Canis lupus familiaris: one gene and its partners. The main gene of each other region encodes a partner of the protein of the gene in region 3 in a complex. Links are inferred from orthologs where the notes say so. Each region holds a gene or a part of one and is shown on either strand. Other genes may lie near its edges. The genes, in order: ARPC1B, ARPC3, ARPC4 and ACTR2.

Region 1 (5,156 bases), on a different chromosome or scaffold from region 3:
ATGCAACTAGAGTTGCTTTTGCCCAAGCCTGTTAACAACACAAAGCCTCAGCAATGGCTCCGGGGACGGGGAGACAAAGGGAGGCTGAGGCCATGGCCTCCAGGACACCCACCCACTTGTCAAGGCAGCCCCGTGAGCCAGCACCATGGGCCCATTTGACTGTTGAGGACAGAGAGAGGAACCGTGTTGGGACTTGGAGTCCACGTGCAGTGATCTGTGCCTCATTATCCCAGAAACAGAGGCTGGGGGAGTGTGGGTCAAATGTGGAGTCTCCCCTGGCTGGCTCCCCTCTGCCAGCCTAACGCCAGGATCTCTGTGTTCCCAGCGGCACGTTCCCTGCGTCCTTTCAGCACACAGTGAAGGCTCAGTACAAATGGGCTGGAGATTACCCAGGGCTGGGCGTGGGAGAGCACAGGGAAGAGCGGCATGAGGTCTGGGAGGGGTTTTGGGTCTCCAGAGTGTGGTTTCCATCCAGAGGGTGCCATGCCAGAAACCATGCACCGGGGTATGGACGCGAACTATCTAGGGGCATGGTAGGTGCTATGTCCACCCACGTATCCTCAGCACCAATTAGAGTTCCTGGCACATAACAGGTGCTCAATACGTATTTCTTGAAGGCAAATTGAATAAATCCCATCCTTTTCTTTAGGGGATAGGCTCCAAGGAATGAATATGCTTTATTATTTCAGTGACATATGTATGCAATTTGTAAATATTTACTGGGGAGTATGTGTTCAGTTTTGTTTTGTGTTCTTCCTGATTAGGGTCAATGATTAGCAAAACTTGGAAATCTGAAATCTAGAAGATCCTCTGCTGAGCACTTGGGAAGAACTCAGCTCCCCTCAGAGCAAAGCAAGCCAGGTAGAGCCTTGGGCTGCCTGACCGAGGGCCTCAGGGCTCCTTCCTTACAGCGTTAGGGTCAAATTCTAACTCTCCATACCAACTGGATGCCCTCAGCCAATACTTCCTTCACATCTCTACCAGAAAAGGTGGGGGCTGAACAAGGCACTAGCTGTAGGTTCCTTATTGCTTCTAGAAAAACCTGGCCAAGGTTCTCTGAAGCCAGAGGTTTGGCTGTATCTGAGGCTAATCTAGGCAGGAGCCATCTGGAGCAGGATCTTGGCCCTACAGGCACTCAGGGAAGTCCCCACCCAGCTCAGACGCTCCAGGGAGTTGCCAGTAAGCCATTTTGTACACGTGCTAAGCAGTTACTCAACTTCCTGTTGTGTATGGAATAGGCCTTGCCACCCCAGACCAGCCAAAACCTCCTCCCCAACTCTGCTCCTGAAGTCTTAACCAGGCAAAAATCAAGTCAAGACACATAAATGAAAACAATCATAGAAAGCACCATAAAGCGTACTAATAAAGCAATCCAAACAAAACAAAATCCAAAAACACATAAAACTCAATGTTGGCAGGGTTGTGGAGAAATTCTCATTTGTTCAGCCTTTCAGAAGAGCGATGTAAAAACAATTCAACAACTGGGTAGGAACAAGCAGAATAACACAAACAGGAACTTAAAAATTAACACTCTTTGGTGGCATAGATTCATTTTGGTGCTAAGAAAATAACCACCGACTTTTTTTTTTTTTTTTAAGCAAACATGTTCATAATAACCCCCTCTAGAATGGTGGAAGGGTGGAAAAATCCAGATGACTACAAATATGGCAAGAGTAAATTGTGACACTAACATGTTGGGATATCATTTAACTATTTGAAAAGACCTGTGTGGATTATGTACATAGACACACATAAACTACCTTTACCGGCATCTTTAAATGCACAGCATTTTTACCCACAGCTTTGACATACATTCTTTTACCCCCAAGAGCAAGCCTAAAGGGTTGTTTTGGGTTTCTTTCGTGTTTTTTTAAACCTTCATTTTGTACATGAGGAAAAAGACTCAGAGTCAAGAATCGGGGATGCCTAGGTGGCTCAGTAGTTGAGCATCTGCCTTTGGCTCAAGTCATGATCCTGGGGTCCTGGGATTGAGTCCCACATCAGGCTCCCCTCGGGGAGCCTGCTTCTCCCTCTGCCTGTGTCTCTCTGCCTCTTTCTGTGTGTGTCTCTCATGAACAGAGATATAAAATCTTTAAAAATAAATAAATAAATAAATAAATAAATAAATAAATAAATAAATAAATAAATAAAAACAAACAAGAATCTCTCAAAGCCACACAGCTCCTACATGGCAGTTTGGGATTCTGACCCCCAAATCTCAGAGGTTAGCATCATCCAGACACTTTGGTAAGTGCGGGCAGGCCCTACAATGGTAGTGGCAGCAGGAAGAGCACCGACCTGTACCCAGCGTGTGCCTGGCACAACCCAGTGCCTTCCACACACAATCCCAGGTAAGCCTCGCCACTTGAAAGGTCCCCATTTTACAGAGGAGGAAGGTTGAGGTCCAGAGCCGTCAGGTGGCCTGCTAAGGAAGCTGGCGCGCTCAACCCCGGCCCGGGGGCCTCCCGGGAACCGGTGCCCGTGGCCGGGGCAGCACCACCTGCCAGGCGCGGGGGCCCGCCGACGGCCTCCAGCTCAGCGCCGCGTTAGGCGGGCGGCGGGCTCCGGGCTCCGGGCTCCGGGCTCCCGCTAGTCCCGCCGGCCTTGCTGTCACCGCCCCGGGCGGCCCCGCTGGGTCCCCGCCTCCGGCGAAGGGGGACCCCCTCCGGGTAGGGTCGGCGGCCCCGGCCCCGGGGCGCCCGGAGGGCCGGGGCGGGGGGCGGGGGCGCGGGGGAGGGGCCAGGTGGGCGGGGGCGCCAGCTCATTTCCCGGCCGGAGCAACCCGGAAGGCTGGAGGATGGAGGGGAAGTGACTGGGCGTGGGGCCCTCGCCGCCCGGAATAGCGGGGGGCAGCGGCCGCGGGGTAGAGCCGGGGAGCGCAGGCCGGGCCAGGGCGCCCCGCGCTCCCCTCGCCCCGAGGCGGCCGCCCACCCCGGGCCCGGGCCGCCGTCCCCGCCCTGCTCTCGCCTCCGGGCGACCCCACGCACCTGGCGAGCCCCCGCCCCGGGCCCCTTCCCCCGGGCACCCCCTCCCCGCGCTCCTGCGCCCCCGCGGGCGCCCCGCACCCTCCCCACCTGCAGGCAACTCCCCGCTACCCCCTGCGGGCGGCCCCAGCCCCCTCACCTCGGGGCGCCCCGGCCGCGGACTCTGGGCAGTCGACGCGCCGAACCGGCTCTGGGCCCCGCGCGGCGCCGCAGCCACTTCCTCGTGGGCGGGGGCGGGGCCTCAGCCTCAGCCCCGCGGGGACCGGGGCGGCAACCAGGGTGGCGGCCAGAGCCCAGGCCCCGCCCACCCATCCGGGGTGGGGGCTGCGCGGAGCCCGGGCGCCCGGCGCTCCTCCGCAACCGCCCCTTGCAACTTTACGCGCGGGGAAACTGAGGCTCGGAGCGGCAGCTGGGCGGGGTGCGCGCCTTCCCTCCTCCCGGAGCTGATGGCCACGGGGCGCGGCAAGTGCAGGCCCGGGACCGGGTGCCCGCGGGCGGGCGGGCGGCCCCCGCCCCTCCCCCGCCCCTGCCCCGCCCCCCGTGCCCGCCGCAGCACCCTCCCGGGGCCGGGTGCCCGCGGGCTCGCACTGACGACTTCCTGCCCCTGGATCCGCCGCAGTCCACTCCTGCCTCCCAGCTGCCTGGTGGCCTTGTGGCCACATGCATTTGGGTCTTGGGCCGAGTGGTCCCCAGGGGTCTTTCTATCCTTAGCCTCTGCCTCATCGGTGGAGATGTGACCAGGTGGCTGCGCGGATGGGGGAGCCCCCGGCGAAAACCCCCTCCTGCGCCCTCTCTTAGCGGGGGGCTCCTCCCCAGGAGTCCTCCCTCCCAGGCGCAGGCAGCAGCAAGCCGCACTGGGGCTCTGTGGTCTTTCCGGAGGCAGGGGATCGGGATCTGGGGCCAGACGCCCACCCTGACAGGTCCCGGGGCTTTGACACATGGTTTTCTTTCTGCCTGGAACACTTCCCCCCCCCCCCCCGTCCCCCCCCTGCAGGGTTTGTCTCTTAGCTCACTCTGTCCACAACCCTCTGCCCTGGAGGTGACTGCGGGGCTCCCAGCAAGACCCTGCGCCCACCAGTCCCGGCTGCCATCAACACTGAATCCTGCCCCTGCAAGGTGGCTGGGAGGATTCCATGTCTCCAAACGTGGGAGCTCTCCCAGTAGTGAGCGCGCAGTGAGCGCTCAGCAAGCTTCGGCTATGGTTTGAAAGGACCAAAGGACCGCCAGCAGCCTTCCTGGCTGAGACTCTGAGGGGCTGGCGCCGCCCTCCCATCTAGCTGTGGCCAGTCCCAGCATGGCTGCGGGATGAACAGAAAAAGTTTCAGATGATCTGTACCAGCACCCCCTTCTTGTGGGGGACAAGTGCAACTTAACACAGAGGGCACATCTGTTGCCTCCCTGGCTTCTAGATGCCCAGGGAATGACCCCAGGGGGAGCTGACCCCCACCTCTGGCATGGGCCTGATGGCTCTAACCCCATCGGCTCCTGGGGTCCCCTGTCCTGAGCTCATGAGCTCAGATGGCCAGGGTAAAGCAAGCCCAGGACATGATGATGATGATGATGATGATGATGATGATGATGCTGCTGCTGCTGCAAGCCCAGGACATGATGATGATGATGATGATGATGATGATGATGATGATGATGGTGGTGGTGGTGGTGGAAGGGAGGGAAGACTCTTCTGGGTGAGCTGCAAGAATCTGAACACGAAAGTGGAACAGCACAAGGGAAGCTAGATGACATAGAGCTCAGGTGGAGGAAATCCCAGAAATGACCAGCACCATGGTCAAACTCTGACTGGTCAGCTTGAGCCCAACCAGCTTCCAGAGGTTTCAGACCACTGGGACCGGTGAGCCGAGGACTCTACTGTTTAAGCTTGGTTTGGGTTGAGACTGTGTTACCCATCTCTAAAAGCATCCGGACACATCTAAACACCTGAGGGTTACCTCCTCATGGTGAAAACAGATTATAAACTCTGTGAGCGGGAACCGGGTTGGCTTTGCTCTGGAAGCCCTCCTGCACCTGGCGCTTGGGAAGCACTCCTCGTGCACCTGCTGCATGAGTGGATGAAGGAAGGAACCCCGACGAGTAGTCTTAGATAAATGAGCTTCGCACAAGGCACTCCTCCTGCAGGGCTGCCTCCATCTCGGACTCTGCAAAGTGAGGCAAACT
Region 2 (4,474 bases), on a different chromosome or scaffold from region 3:
TTTGTTTTCAATATAATGCACTTAAATGCAAATTTACATAATTTAATTTTTAATAATGGCTTTTTTTTTAAGGATTTTCTTTATTCATGAAAGACACAGAGAGAGAGAGAGAGGCAGAGACACAGGCAGAGGGAGAAGCAGGCTCCATGCAGGGAGCCCGATGTGGGACTCAATCCCTGGACCAGGGATCACACTCTGAGCCGAAGGCAGACACTCAACTGCTGAGCCATCCAGGCATCCCATTAACGGCTGTTTTTAATAACCAGCTTGCCTCAATATTTTTCAAAATTCCTCAAAACATAGATGCTTCTGGCTGGCTCAGTGGGAAGAGCATGCAACTCTTTTTTTAAAAAAAATATAAAGATTTATTCATTTATTCATGAGAGAGAGGCAGAGACACAGGCAGAGGGAGAAGCAGGCTCCCCACAGGGAGCCAGATGCAGGACTTGATCCCGGAACTCCGGGATCCCTACCCAAGCCAAAGGCAGATGCCCAACCTCTGAGCCACCCAAGCATCCCAAGAGCATGCAACTTTTGATCTCCGGGTTGTGAGTTCGAGCCCCATGTGGGGTGCAGATTATTTAAATAATTTTTTTAATTGCTCAAAATTGGGAATCCCTGGGTGGCCCAGCGGTTTAGCACCTGCCTTCAGCCCAGGGCGTGATCCTGGAGTCCCAGGATCGAGTCCCACATCAGGCTCCCTGCATGGAGCCTGCTTCTCCCTCTGCCTGTGTCTCTGCCTCTCTCTCTTTCTCTCTCTGTCTTTCATGAATAAATAATTAAAATATTTTAAAAATAATTGCTCAAAATTTAACATTCAGTTTTCTTGAGCCAGTAAAAGCCAGCTCTAGCGTATTGCTGCTACCAACCTTTGATCCTCCTCCTGGTTAGTCTTGGGTGGGTTCTTCTTTTTCCCTTTAGAGAAATGTTTCTTGTGTGCCCTGCTGATGTTTGCTCTCTTTCTGTCTCCATATTCTTACCTGGCTTGCCACTACAGGCTTACCACTCTTCTCTCATGGACCCTGACACCAAACTCATTGGAAACATGGCATTGTTGCCTATCAGAAGTCAATTCAAAGGACCCGCCCCTAGAGAGAGTAAGTCAAAACTTCTTTCTATTGTTCTCAGATTTTAGTAGAAAACATCTAGCAACTCTCTGACATTAACAAATCAGGCAAATTCTTAGCTCAGTCCTCTGTCTCAGACTGCTCTTGGATATTCTATTTGTTTGGTGGATATTGCATTCTAGACCTTTCAAGATCAGGAGTATACATTGCATCTAGTAAGAAAGTGTATTAATGCTGCTGAGTTCTTCTGAATATTTTGTTGAGAGGGATGAGGAAATATTACTTATTTTTGACATTATTCTGTCATCACTGTCAGTACTTACAAAGTGATCTAATGCTACTACTTCTGTAGGATACCATGTCCCCATCCTTTTTCTGTTGTAAGGCTGAGGAAAACAAAGAAGACATTTTAACTCCTTCCCCTGTCTGTATCTACTTCCTTTATTCATTCTTCAGGATCTTCATTTTCAGCAGTACCTGGATCTTAAGTTGTAAGTGTCTTATGTAAAATTACACATTGTTTCTCTTGCTTTTCTGAATTTTATATCTTTTCTTTTTTTAGTACTTCCCCTTTTTTTTGAAACATTTCCTTACTGTTCAGAAAGCCTCCTTCTTTTTAGACTCTTTGGATACATTCTGAGATGTTCTACCAACAGTGTAATTTATATTATAGCAGACATGGCTTCCTTGCATCCAGAAAGCATCTGCACTGAGTTCCATTCAAGGTTTTTAAGGTTTTCATTGCAATTTGCACTGACCCCATCTTCATTCCTCTGCCAGACTATTTGACGTGACCTCTCCTTAAGTTTATTTTCAACACCAGTTGAAAGCTCAGTAAACTAAATAAACTTGGTGAGTTACCACAGTTTTTACTTGATTCTGAGATGAAGAAAAAGGAACAGATGGGAAAAAAAAAAAAGATTTAAAAGAAGAAAAATAATGTAAAAGAATTACAGTGCAAAGAAAGAATAAAAAAATCCATGTTGGCCCAGATTCCTTGAGAAGAACTCTTTTCAGATCTTTACAAAATACCATGTAGCATATCAGAAGATGCAGTTGACTAGAGATGGAGTGTATCTAATTACCACCTTCGCAACAACTCGTGGGCCCTTGAGGGAGAGCAGGACCCCAAGAAACCAGATGGACATGGTTTCTGTAGACAGAGAATGACCTGTTATTCTTTCCCAGTGGACAGGATTGGAACTGAACTGGAATTATGAAAGAGTACAGGCCTATGCTGTGAGCAAAATAACTGTTAGCATTAATCAAATTCATTTCTTTACATTCATCAGACACCTTTTGAGCACCTTTCTGTGCCAAACACCCTTCTAGGTTCTGAATCTTGTAGCCCACCCCCGCCCCGTTCCTCACCCCCCACCCCCACATTGTTACATTTAGAAGAACTAGCTGGTTTTATAAACAATATGGAATCTTCTGAGGAAGTTTCCTTTTTGCACATAAGAAAATTGCAAGAACAGGAGTCTAGAGTTAGAATTCTGTTGCGTTCTTTAGCAGGGGAATGAGTAGGGTTAAAGACAGCTGAATCACAGAGTACTAAACCTCCAGGATTACTTTGCATTTCTTCTGTGTGAGAGGGAGAGCAGTCATTGGACAATATAAATAACTCTGGAAAAAAAAAAAAAAAAAAGACCACCAAAAAACTGTCTCTGCATTGCTGCAACCGGCTGCTGGATATCAAGACCCTGGGATTTTGACCTTTTTAAAATAAGAAAAGGAAAACAAAAACCTGCCAAAGAAATTGTATAATGAGATCTGTCTTTGTCACAACAGCATTTCTGGCTTTTCTCAGTCTCTCGCCACCTAGAACAGCATGTACAAGTATATTTTAAGCACGGTTTTCATAAAAAGAAAGATGTATGTGTAAGCCCAGTGTGTTCCTAAATGATAGTTGAGGGTTTTTTTCCGCCTGAAACCATAGAATATAAATTCAAATAGAATTAGATTGAATACTTTTTATTTAAACAGCATCTTATCAAGGTTTAGTCTATGCCTAAGTTCATTTTTATAAATGAACATTGAGACATCTCTCAATGTCTGGAATGATGTTCACCAAATGATAATAGTAGTTATTTCTAGGTAGTGAGATTTAGAGTGACAATAAAATGTTTTTTGGTACTGGTTAATTTGTTCCTAATGAGAATATTTTTTTATAAAAACAATAAAGCTATCAGAATAAACCATATCCTTATTTTTCTAGATATTGTTTCTAAAGACATTATATTTCAGTGGCCTCATTTTATGGAACTCAACTCCTTTGACCATGGAGCTGGGAAGTTTACTCTCTAGCTTTTTTAAGTGTTATTGTTATATTTTAGCTCATGTTCTCTGCCTCCACCCCCCTCTTCGGTCCTGTTTAGCAAAAGATACAGATATTGTGGATGAAGCCATTTATTACTTCAAGGCCAATGTCTTCTTCAAAAACTATGAGATTAAGGTAAAGTACAGAGCTTTTAATATTTAATTTAGTTTTCTGGTGTGGATAATAAGCTACCTGGTAGTCAGGGTTGTTCTGAAGAATAAATAAAATTGAATGAGATTGTATGACTTTAAAAAATGAGAATAGTGGGGCACCTGAGTGGCTCAGTTGGTAAAGTATCTGCCATCGACTCAGGTCATGATCCTGGGTTCCTGGGATCAAGTCCCACATCTGGTTCTGGGCTGAGCAGAGAGTCTTTTTCCCTCTCGTTCTGCCCCTTTCCCTCCCCTCCCTACTTATACTCTGTGCTCTCTCTCTCTCAAATAAAAAATAAATAAAATTTAAAAAAATTTAAAACCAGAATAGTGCCTAATATTAGACTCAGTATTAGTTTCTCGTTTTTCCTCCAAAGTCTATACCATGGGTCAACAAACTACAGCCTGAGAGCCAAATCTGGCCCACTGCCTCTTTTTGTTGTTATTGTTGTTAAGAGAGTATGATCAGGGGGAGCTGCATGTAGAGCATTTATGAATAAAGTTTTATTGGAACACAGCCACATTCATTTTTTATCATAGTGTCTATGACTGGTTTCATGCCACAGCAGCTGGATTGAATAGTTGTGACAAAGACTGGCCCACAAAACCTAAAATATTTAATATTTGATCTCTTATAGAGGAAGTTTGCCAACCCAAGATCTAGACATTTTTATTTGTTCAACATTAATAAAGCACCTACCATGTGCCAGTTCAAAATGAAAAAACCCTACATGCTATGTTATTTCTATATATACTTCTGTGTTCTGGCCATGAGATGAAGAAATAAAGAAACTTCAATGATCCTGATCGTTCCTCAACTATCCTTTCTTCCTTTCTGCTCTTAGTTCGTGTGAGGAATGAGGTCAAAAAGAGGGTAGAAGGAAGGTGGCAAAAAAGGAGAGGAGAGAAAGAACTTTATTGAGTTTATTGAGTTC
Region 3 (4,474 bases):
CAACAATCCCAGGGCAATGACAGTAGACTTAGTGAAAGAATCTTGGGTATTATGAACATGTGGATCACATGGTCTCACCTCCACTGGTTTCCTTCGAAGGATAAAGAAGTTCTCTGCTCGCATCATCATGAAGCGCATGAACTTGTGGCATAAAATCTTCTCGATCTCATCAGCCTAGTGAGAGAGAAAAATAAACAGGGCTCCCTAAATCTGACAATACAGGCCAACAGAAACCTGTAGTCTGGTCTTCTGACTTCAATTTCCCCCAGACTCGCTGCAGGTAGTGAGGTTTGGCATCAGGAGCAATGACTACCTGAATCATGGGGCAGGTGACTGCCAACTGAATGTCGGCAGTTGAGAGCCTCTTCAATTCAATAGGGCATTACCACAATTTCATTTTCACCCATTCCAGAGCGGTAGTTCTGGCAAACCCAAGTCTTTTATCTGCTCCTTGCAGAGGCCATACCTACACTGAAAGCGGCCTCTCCCTTTCCCATTCACTAGTGCTGTATTTCCCAAAGTCTATGATATATATATACCATCTGAAGTTCTCAGAGATAAACTTAGGTGGTTTTCGCTTCAATAACAATGAATATTAAATAATCCCCAAAGTTTTTCCCTGCTGAACTCTTACTAGTTGTTGTTGTTTTTTTCATATTTTATTTATTTATTCATGAGAGAAAGAGAAAGAGAGAGAGAGAGAGAGAGAGAGAGAGAGAGAGGCAGGCAGAAGGTTTCATGCAGGGAGCCCGACGCAGGACTCAATCCTGGGTCTCCAGGATCACGCCCTGCGCTGACGGCGGTGCTAAACCGCTGAGCCACCCAGGCTGCCTGAACTCTTACTAGTTCTAATGAAAGGATTTTGCAGCTGGGTGCTGGCAGGTACGCCCTTAACACCTCCCAACACTTGTTAATCTCCCTTTTTAACAGAGCAGACCCTAAGGATAGAGCTTTCTATAGGCAACAGGACCCAGTCTAAGTAACAGCTTTATTTTCTTTCACTGAATTTACTTTTTTTAGAGTTCTCCCTAGGTAACAAGTGATACGGTTTTTCCATTATGGCATAAAGTTTCTTTTTCAAACAAATTTAAGTAAAAGAAAAGTCAATTTAAGAAAATCCATTTTCTGGGATGCCTGGGTGGCTCAGTGGTTGAGCATCTGCCTTTGGCCCAGATCATAATTGCAGGGTCCTGAGACTGAGCTCCACATCAGGGTCCCTGCTCAGCGGGGTGTCGGCTTGTCCCTCTCCCTCCACCCTTCCTCTCCACCCATGTGCTCTCCCTTGCTCTGCTCTCTCAAATAAACAAAATTGAAAGAAAGAAAGAAAGAAAGAAAGAAAGAAAGAAAGAAAGAAAGAAAGAAAGAAAAGAAAGAAAGAAAAGGAAGAAAGAAAAGAAAAGAAAAGAAAAGAAAAGAAAAGAAAAGAAAAGAAAAGAAAAGAAAAGAAAAGAAAAGAAATGAAATTACACTTTCATGCTAAATCTCTATTTCAAAGTTTATGGCTATTAAATTGATACTGGTATTTTTTTTTTTCTTAAAGATTTTATTTATTTATTCGATAAACAGATAGAGAGTCAGAGACACAGGCAGAGGGAGAAGCAGGCTCCATGCAGGGAGCCCGACATGGGACTCGATCCCAGGTCTCCAGAATCATGCCCTAGGCTTAAGGCAGTGCTAAACCGCTGAGCCACCTGGGCTGCCCTATTATTTATTTTTCTAAACTGGACTTATTCTGCCTTCCTTATAAATGATTCTTTGACCAGACACCAAACTGGCCATGGCCTTAGCTGCAACTTTTCCACACTTCTAATCTAAAGGAAGCCTAGAAGATATGGTTGCTGTCTCTACTGACCTGCTGAATCTGGAGAACCATTCCCTGGGTATAGTCAAGGAAATGGAGCCTGGGTTTCCTTGCACCTTGAATCTGGCATGACGATCTCTCAGATGGGGACCCCTGACCTCCTGAGGAGGCAAGGGCTCAGTAATGAGCTCACCTGTTTCACAGCAATGCTGACCCGGACAGAGTTGATGGAGCCCTCAATCAAAACTTTTTCCTTCTCATTCCTGCTGATGGTCACAGGTTGTAACAGGAGCTCTTTGCTACTCCTGAAAATACAATGTCACAGAGGCATCTGTACTACAGAGGAACAGAATGCTCAGAGAGACCCACAGCAGGCCCTGGAATCTCTATCTGAGACCACAGAGTCCAAGGAATAGGAGACTCACAAGTAGGGGTGCTCCAAGATGGGGGCCAGCGAGTGTGTTCTCCAACAGAAGGAGCAAGGCTCTGGAGTCAGGGCGATAAGGTTTTGAAATCCAGCCTCCTCTGTTACTTTCCTTGGACAAGTTACCCTGTTGGAATCTCAATTTCCTCATCTGTAAAATGACTGATTCCTATTTCACTGGTGAGGATTGAGAGAGATCAGAAAGGGTCAATTGTCTATTAAGAGTGCCTGGCACATGGTAGGAGCTTTATAAATGACAGCTCTTATTTTAATAACTACGGGCAAACCCATATACCATTTAGGGAATGAGAAAAGAGGCTGCATTAGGGATAAGGATAAGCTAAAATCAAACAGAGTTTGGTCTCCTTTAATTATCAATCCAGAATGATTCACTTATTTAGCATTAAGACCCCTCTCAGCTCAGCTTCCATTTTGATGCCTCTGAAATCTCTAAGTATTTGTAACGGTAATTAAAATGCCCAGTAGAAATCACATATGTTAAGTAGAGCAGCACAACAAACGCTAACATCTTGTCAGTATTTTTAAATTCAAATCATTTGAACATGGTGTGGTAATATTGCTTATCTCAGTTATATGTGTATCAGATTAAACTTTAAAGGAGAACAGAATAATTTAACAAAACATAAACTAGGTAAGAGAAAATAACCCAAAATATGAAGTATTTAGAGTAAGGGATGAGACAGTCCGGGTTGGTCGGAGAAAAAACATTCCCTGATCTTTAAATTCCAAGAGGATGGAGAAGGCATCAAACAAAATTCTCCACTCTCTCCTTAAATTGGGTTCAATAATGACACAGGAGATTCTTACCGAACAGTCCTACTCTGAGAAGCCAGATCTTGTGTCAAGCAATCTTGGCTCCAGAGGAGCTTCTCCCCTGGGTTTTGTCCTGCCAACCCACTGACCCTATTTTCTGAACTGCAAATTGGGAACCACTGCTCATCTGGCAACAAGACAAAATATGTGAACTATAGTTGGCTTGACCACTCTGGAACGGAAATTCATGGCGAACTCCAGATAACTGCCATCTCTGGGACTGAGCTCATCACCCCCACCTTGACCTTTTTCTTCCCTACCTGACTTCCACTTCTGGCTTGTTGTGTCGTTCCACGACCTGGGAGGAGAAATTCTCCAGGCAGAGGGCAGCCTGCAGTGTGGCCCGCACGGCACTCAGGTAGGGGCGGAGAGTGGCAGTCTGTAGGAAAAAAACCCAAGGGAGAATCACAATCTATTTTAGCAAACCCCCAACTGAAACAGAATCTGTTTTAGCAAACTCTCCTCCAGCTACATGGGAACCAGGCAGTACTGAGAGTACCTGGCTCTCAGACACCACAGTGAACCAAATAGACTGGGCCTTCAAGGTGCCTTTGATTCTAAATCAAGAGTGGCTCTCAACAGGGGACCATTTTTCTTGCCAGCGGACATGCAGCAATGTAGGGACATTTTTCATTGACGGGATTTGGCATATGGCGGGAGTGCTACTGGCATCGAGTCAAGGCCCAGTATATTGCTAAACATCCTACAATGCACAAAGAAGAATTATTCAGGGGTGCCTGGGTGGCTCAAATGTCTGACTCTTGATTTCAGCTTGAGTCATGATCTCGGAGTTGTGGGATCTAGCCCCACATCAGGCTGCGAGCTCAGTGCAGAGTCCCTTTGAGAGTTTCTCCCCCTCTCTCTGCCCCCTCCTCCCCTGCTCTCTCTCTATAATAAAGCCTAGAACAATAAATTAATAAAAATAAAGGAATTATTCTACCCCAAATAGTGCTGAGGTTGAGAAATTCTGGTCTAGAGGCATACAGGTGAATGACTATCCTCAATCTGTATTTGAGCCAATAATGTATAAGTCTGTGTGCTGACTTAAATGTCAAGGGACTGATTTAAATGTCAAGATTTTAAAGATCATCTCTACCCCTAAATAGCTCAACTGGGTAGAGAACAAAAAAACCATATGATATAAAGGAGAATGAAACGGGACATAATCAAACTTACAAATTACATTTCCAGAAGAAATTGGTTTGGAAATAAAGATGAAAATAAGATTAGGAGGATTTTACAATAAGAAAAAGTAGACTAAGGATATTCCCAGTAGACAGACCAGCTTCTACCTACACTGGCTTATCTTCAGTTCCTTGTATTATCTACATTCTTTCTCATCTGAAGGCTTTACACATGCTGATTCATCTATACAGGACTTTCTTTCCTTTCTTGACTTAAGTCATCCCTTAGAC
Region 4 (5,227 bases), on a different chromosome or scaffold from region 3:
GGGCTCCTGCATGGAGCCTGCTTCTCCTCCTTCTGCCTATGTCTCTGCCTCTCTCTGTGTCTCTCATGAATTAATAAATAAAATCTTAAAAAAAAATAAAGAAGATGCAGAAAAGGCATATTTCCCTGGGGCCTCCTATCCATCCTAATTTCTCAAACTTTCAACTACTATGGCAGCTTTAATCTATTTTATATGTTGAAGTTCCACATAAGATTATATTTGAGGGGCACACCTGAGTGGCTCAGTCAGTTAAGTGGTAGACTGGATTTTGACTCAGGTCATGATCTCAGGGTCCTGGGATTGACCCCTGCATCAGGCTCCACGCTCAGCAGGGATTCTGCTTACGGATTCTCTCTTTCCCTCTCCTGCTGTCCCTGCCATGCTCAAGCACTCTCTCTCTAAAACAAATAATCTTTAAAAAAAAAAAAAAAAAAGAAGAAGACTAAATTCAAATAAACTGGTCTAATAAAAGAAAGAGGTGAAAACTGAGAGGCAGCCTATTATAATACTGGACTGAAGGATTCATGATCCAAGTTTTATTCTAGTCGCTGTACATACACAGCCATGTGAAAGGCACAATTGTAGTTGTCACCTGTCAAAAATGCTGGCATTTTTTTCTAGGTAAATTTTGACATCACTTATCCAATACTTGTTGAGTGTAATGAGCGCGATATTATGCATATATCCATGATAAACTAATTAGTGAAGAAAAAGAGCAAAGAGCATCTTGAGGGTTATCAGCAAAGTCTTCATCTTTGTGCAGATGTGCAGACATCTCCTGATTGGATTTAAAAAAAAAAAGGTAGAGGCATTATAGGTAGAAAGAACGATACATTTAGAAGTAATTAATAATAAACAGCTACCACTGAATGGATACTTTATGCATGGAATTTTATCCTCACAACCAGCCATGGAAGCAGAGGTTAGCATTCCAATGCATAGGCGAGGGTATGGCCAAATCACAGAATGCTTGAGTGGCAGGGCCGTATTTGAAACTGGGGTCGTCGGATTTCGAAGCCAAGACTCTGGGTGCAAACAGGTGCATACACTGGAGAGGTGTGGAGTAGCGAGGGTGCTGCTGGATTTCGAAGCCGAGACTCTGGGTGCAAATAGGTACATACACTGGAGAGGTGTGGACTAGCGAGGTGCTGCTGGATTTCGAAGCTGAGACTCTGAGTGCAAATAGGTACATACACTGGAGAGGCGTGAGGTGTGAAGCAGCGAGGTGCTGCTGGATTTCGAAGCCGAGACTGGGTGCAAGCAGGTGCATACACTGGAGAGGTGTGGAGTAGCGAGGTGCTGCTGGATTTCGAAGCTGAGACTCTGGGTGCAAACAGGTGCATACACTGGAGAGGCATGAAGCAGCGAGGTGCTGCTGGATTTCGAAGCCAAGACTCTGGGTGCAAATAGGTACATACACTGGAGAGGCGTGAGGTGTGAAGCAGCGAGGTGCTGCTGGATTTCGAAGCCGAGACTGGGTGCAAGCAGGTGCATACACTGGAAAGGTGTGGAGTAGCGAGGTGCTGCTGGATTTCGAAGCCGAGACTGGGTGCAAACAGGTGCATACACTGGAGAGTGTGGAGCAGCGGGGTGCTGCTGGAAAGGAAGTGGTGAGCCACGGGCCTAAAAAGGTAGGTGCCCACTACCGCCCTCTTGACTAAAGGCAAATTGGGCAAAAAGGGTGGGGGGTGGGCTGGAATTGGGAGATATCAGGACAAACGCATGACTTCATGTGTGTGTATCCAGCCCAGTTCTGTTCCCCGAAGAGGCCTGGGGAGCAAGGACAACCGCAAGCCGTGCTCAAAGGTGGGGTCAGCAGGGACGTGCAGGTTTGCTTCCCCTGCGTCCGCCCGCTCCGCTGTCTCCTCTCGCCACGGATGCACGGTCCCTCACCTTCCTGCCTGCCTCTTTTGCAGACAGCTAAGCAGCCCCCTCAACTCCTGCGACGCCCGGGACCGCAGCACCCGCCAGCCCCGCCGCCATGAAAGCCCGGCGAAGCTCCCGGAACCGGAAGCAGCGAGGAAGAGCCCGGGTGGGCGGTGACCGCGACGGCGGAAACCCGATCTGTGGGCGGGGCCTCGTCGCGTCTCCGCCTCTTATTGGACCTCACGCCTGCCAGTCTCTGTCTCCGCCCTCTTATCCCCGCCCCTTCCGTGCGTTCCGTGTCTTAAACGGCGGGTGGGGCCGGGCGGAGACTTCCGGTTGGTGGAAGAAAGTTGGGGCGGAGGAGGGGCCGCGAGGAAGGAGGAGGAAGAGGAAAGGGCCGGGCGGCGGGGGCTGTAGGTCGTTCGGCGGCGGCGGCTCTCTTCCGGGAGGACGATGGACAGCCAGGGCAGGAAGGTGGTGGTGTGCGACAACGGCACCGGGGTAAGCGCCCGGCCGGGGACGTGCTGGTGGCGCGGCGGCCCTCGGCGCTCGCGGCGGCGCCCATGGGCCCTCGGGCCGCCGGGACCCGGGGGCGCGGGGCAGCGCTTCCGGCCTCCGCGGGCGTGGGGGGCGAGCTGACCCGGGGCAGCTCGGGGTCGGGGCGGCGGGCCTGGCGGACGCTGGAGGCGGAGGGGTGGGGTGGGGGATGGGGAGGCCCGGGGGGACCCAGCCTGCAGCCCGGCCGCCGCCGCCGCGCCCAACGGGGATGCTCTGGCTAGAGGGCTGCAGGGGTCAAAGGCCGGGCAGGTAGGTCTGCTCCATGAGGATTCTGTTCCCCAGGGTCGCTGCTTCTGTAGAAGGGAGAAGCACCAGGAGGGCCTTCCTCTTCCTGTAGAATTGAAGATACCGAACGGCAGGCAGGAAACGAGCTCGAGGAGAGAAAAAAAAAAAAAAAAGGGGGAAGTGCTGTCATGCAACGAGCCGCAGCCCTTTCGCAGTTTTCGGGCAGCCGCAGTTTTTGGAGCTGTTCCCCCCTTACCCGGGGGTGAGGGAGCAGCGTGGAGCCAAGCATCATTTACTTTTTGTTATGCAGGCTGGGAATTTGGCCTCGGTGCAGCCTCCGCAGAGGCACGTCTGTGTCCATTGATCTTGGGAGATCTGGGACACCCCCCGCCCCCCCCCCCCACTAAGGCTCAAGTGTTCATTGTGGACCTTGCAGGGGAAGTTCACCAATTCTGGTAACTCCCTCCCCCATCCTACTTCCTTAGATGCAGAAACACAGATCATGTTAAGTTTTTAAGATTCCAAAAGACAGACGATTGTTAAAAAAAAAAAAAAATTGGCTAAACACTGATTTAGAAATCATGTGAAAGTTGTTGCGTTCAAACCCCTCCCCCCATTAAAAAAAAACGCAACCTATTTGGAGTGGCACATTAGGAGACAGAAGTGTTACTGGGATGGATGAGTTCTGTAGTGATCATTTGCCCCTACATTGCAATGATTTCTTTTCTTTTTTTTTTTTTTTTTTTTTAAGATTTTTATTTATTTACTCATGAGAGACACACAGAGAGAGAGGGGCAGAGGGAGAAGCAGGCTCCATGCAGGGAGCCTGACGTGGGACTCCATCCAGGGTCTCCAGGATCACGCCCTGGGCCGAAGGCAGGCGCTAAACAGCTGAGCCACCTGGGCTGTCCCATTGCAATGATTTCCAATCATTTTGGACTTAGGGTATTTTATGACTTTTCTCCTCTTTTTTCCATAAATGTAGCATACGAATGAAAATAGGCTTCCAGGGATCCCTGGGTGGCGCAGCAGTTTGGCGCCTGCCTTTGGCCCAGGGCGCGATCCTGGAGTCCTGGGATCGAGTCCCACGTCGGGCTCCCGGTGTATGGAGCCTGCTTCTCCCTCTGCCTATGTCTCTGCCCCTCTCTCTCTCTCTCTCTCTCTCTCTCTCTCTCTGTGTGACTATCATAAATAAAATAAAAAAAATAAAATAAAATAAAAAAGAAAATAGGCTTCCAGTTATGAAGTGGATAAATCACAGGGATGACAAGTACGAATCTGGTCAGTGGCATCTTTACAGCACTTATATGATGACCGATGACAGCTACATCTGTGGTGTGGGAGGCACGACATACAGTTGTCAAATCACTACGTTGTACACCTGAAAAAAAATTTTTTTACTTGAATTTTAAAATATTCTGGAAATTGGATTGTTGGGATGAAAAATAAAAGAGCTGATATTTACTGGCATAATACTACCCTTACTGTTTTACAGACTTTCAGAAGCGATGATTATATTAGTTTTGTATGAACTAAGTTAAAAACAAGAGAGTAAGAAGAGATATAATCATGGGACATCCGTTCAAAATCGTATACTTAAAAAAAAAAAAAAGAAAGAGAAAAGATCCACCACTATGGAAACATGTAAATATGTTTCTGTGTCCACAAACTTCTAAAGTTTTAGAGGGAGAAATAAGTTCGTAGAGGTTACCCTGTGAGTTTGGGGATAAGAGGGAGGGAAGATGGGAAAGGCTTTGTGACTCTTCTGCATTATTCGAAAGTGGTCTGTTTTGTTTTTTAAGAAAACATGAGACTCTTCAAATTAACTACAAACATTACTTTTATAGCTGAAAGTCAGTTAAAGGTGCTTTAAAAAAAAAAAAGTAGCTTGATTCCCCCTGTAGTCTCAAATTGACCTCTAAATAAATCTAAGACTTTAAAAATTGAATTTAAAATATTTTTGTAGATATATTTTATATTCCCTTTAGAAATCAGAGCCTTTATATTTCAGTGGATTCCTTCTCTTCGAATGATAATGAGCTCTGTATTTGTAGTGTATGAGCTTTTTGATATTCAATTAGAATAGGAGTGTTAGCCATGAGTTCTTTTTTTATTACTATTTCATTAGTTTACCTGAGGTAGAAAGCTGATTGTATGTTACTGATTAGGCTTATGGCTAATCCATAATTTAAGATTCTTGTACTTTAAGAGATCAGTAAAGGAAAAATGTAGTTAATTTGAACAAAATTTATGTATTTGGTGTTACATTTCTAATTACTTTAAAAATTTATCTGAATTTTCTATAGACCTGACTGGCTTCAAATGAAGAAATAGTTCTGATGTAATATGTAGCTAGGAATGCTGTGATATTTCTGAAAATTTAGAGTATTCTAAATACAGAAATTCTCTATTTCTTACTGCTTATATTTCATAGTCCTCTTGATTTAGTTTAGGTACCTAAAGCTATACTGAGTTATCTACAAGTAAATACTAAGGTGTTCAAATTTAATTTCTAAAAACTTATGTAAATAGTTGTTAGTCTTTTTTTTTTTTAAGATTTTTTTAAAATTTTTATTTA

What was found.
Region 1: the proteins of ARPC4 (region 3) and ARPC1B are in contact, whole or in part, in a cryo-EM structure (PDB 6YW6), measured with the Homo sapiens proteins. The link is inferred for Canis lupus familiaris from reciprocal best matches to the Homo sapiens genes ARPC4 and ARPC1B. Residues at the interface, in NP_005709.1 of Homo sapiens: Gln17, Cys21, Leu22, Glu23, Asn24, Phe25, Ser26, Ser27, Gln28, Val29, Glu31, Arg32, Glu45, Leu46, Leu48, Glu124, Gln125, Tyr127, Lys128, His129; in NP_005711.1 of Homo sapiens: Glu9, Pro10, Asn28, Gln54, Thr72, Arg74, Asn96, Arg97, Ala98, Arg100, Ser143, Thr144, Cys162, Trp204, His206, Leu245, Pro246, His263, Ala319, Gly320, Lys326, Asn327, Ser328, Met350.
Region 2: ARPC4 (region 3) and ARPC3 share a complex: the UniProt entries of both Homo sapiens proteins name them as parts of the arp2/3 complex. The link is inferred for Canis lupus familiaris from reciprocal best matches to the Homo sapiens genes ARPC4 and ARPC3.
Region 4: the proteins of ARPC4 (region 3) and ACTR2 are in contact, whole or in part, in a cryo-EM structure (PDB 6YW6), measured with the Homo sapiens proteins. The link is inferred for Canis lupus familiaris from reciprocal best matches to the Homo sapiens genes ARPC4 and ACTR2. Residues at the interface, in NP_005709.1 of Homo sapiens: Val29, Val30, Glu31, Arg32, His33, Lys35, Pro36, Glu39, Val40, Ala98, Glu99, Asn100, Phe102, Ile103, Leu104, Arg105, Arg106, Lys107, Leu117, Thr119; in NP_005713.1 of Homo sapiens: Tyr222, Val223, Tyr225, Gln229, Glu230, Lys232, Leu233, Ala234, Leu235, Glu236, Thr237, Thr238, Val239, Lys253, Thr308, Met309, Tyr310, Pro311, Gly312, Pro314, Ser315, Asp346.

The regions. Positions count from the first base shown.
Region 1 is NC_049227.1:10,284,562-10,289,717, forward strand, and holds the start of ARPC1B (actin-related protein 2/3 complex subunit 1B), read right to left. Parts: upstream 3,271-5,156; 5' UTR 3,124-3,270; intron 1-3,123. UniProt on the Homo sapiens protein: Component of the Arp2/3 complex, a multiprotein complex that mediates actin polymerization upon stimulation by nucleation-promoting factor (NPF).
Region 2 is NC_049247.1:8,501,695-8,506,168, reverse strand, and holds part of ARPC3 (actin-related protein 2/3 complex subunit 3), read left to right. Parts: intron 1-997; coding exon 998-1,097; intron 1,098-3,403; coding exon 3,404-3,522; intron 3,523-4,474. UniProt on the Homo sapiens protein: Component of the Arp2/3 complex, a multiprotein complex that mediates actin polymerization upon stimulation by nucleation-promoting factor (NPF).
Region 3 is NC_049241.1:8,516,209-8,520,682, forward strand, and holds part of ARPC4 (actin-related protein 2/3 complex subunit 4), read right to left. Parts: intron 3,439-4,474; coding exon 3,320-3,438; intron 2,107-3,319; coding exon 1,995-2,106; intron 175-1,994; coding exon 79-174; intron 1-78. UniProt on the Homo sapiens protein: Actin-binding component of the Arp2/3 complex, a multiprotein complex that mediates actin polymerization upon stimulation by nucleation-promoting factor (NPF).
Region 4 is NC_049231.1:65,984,625-65,989,851, forward strand, and holds the start of ACTR2 (actin-related protein 2), read left to right. Parts: upstream 1-2,184; 5' UTR 2,185-2,319; coding exon 2,320-2,367; intron 2,368-5,227. UniProt on the Homo sapiens protein: ATP-binding component of the Arp2/3 complex, a multiprotein complex that mediates actin polymerization upon stimulation by nucleation-promoting factor (NPF).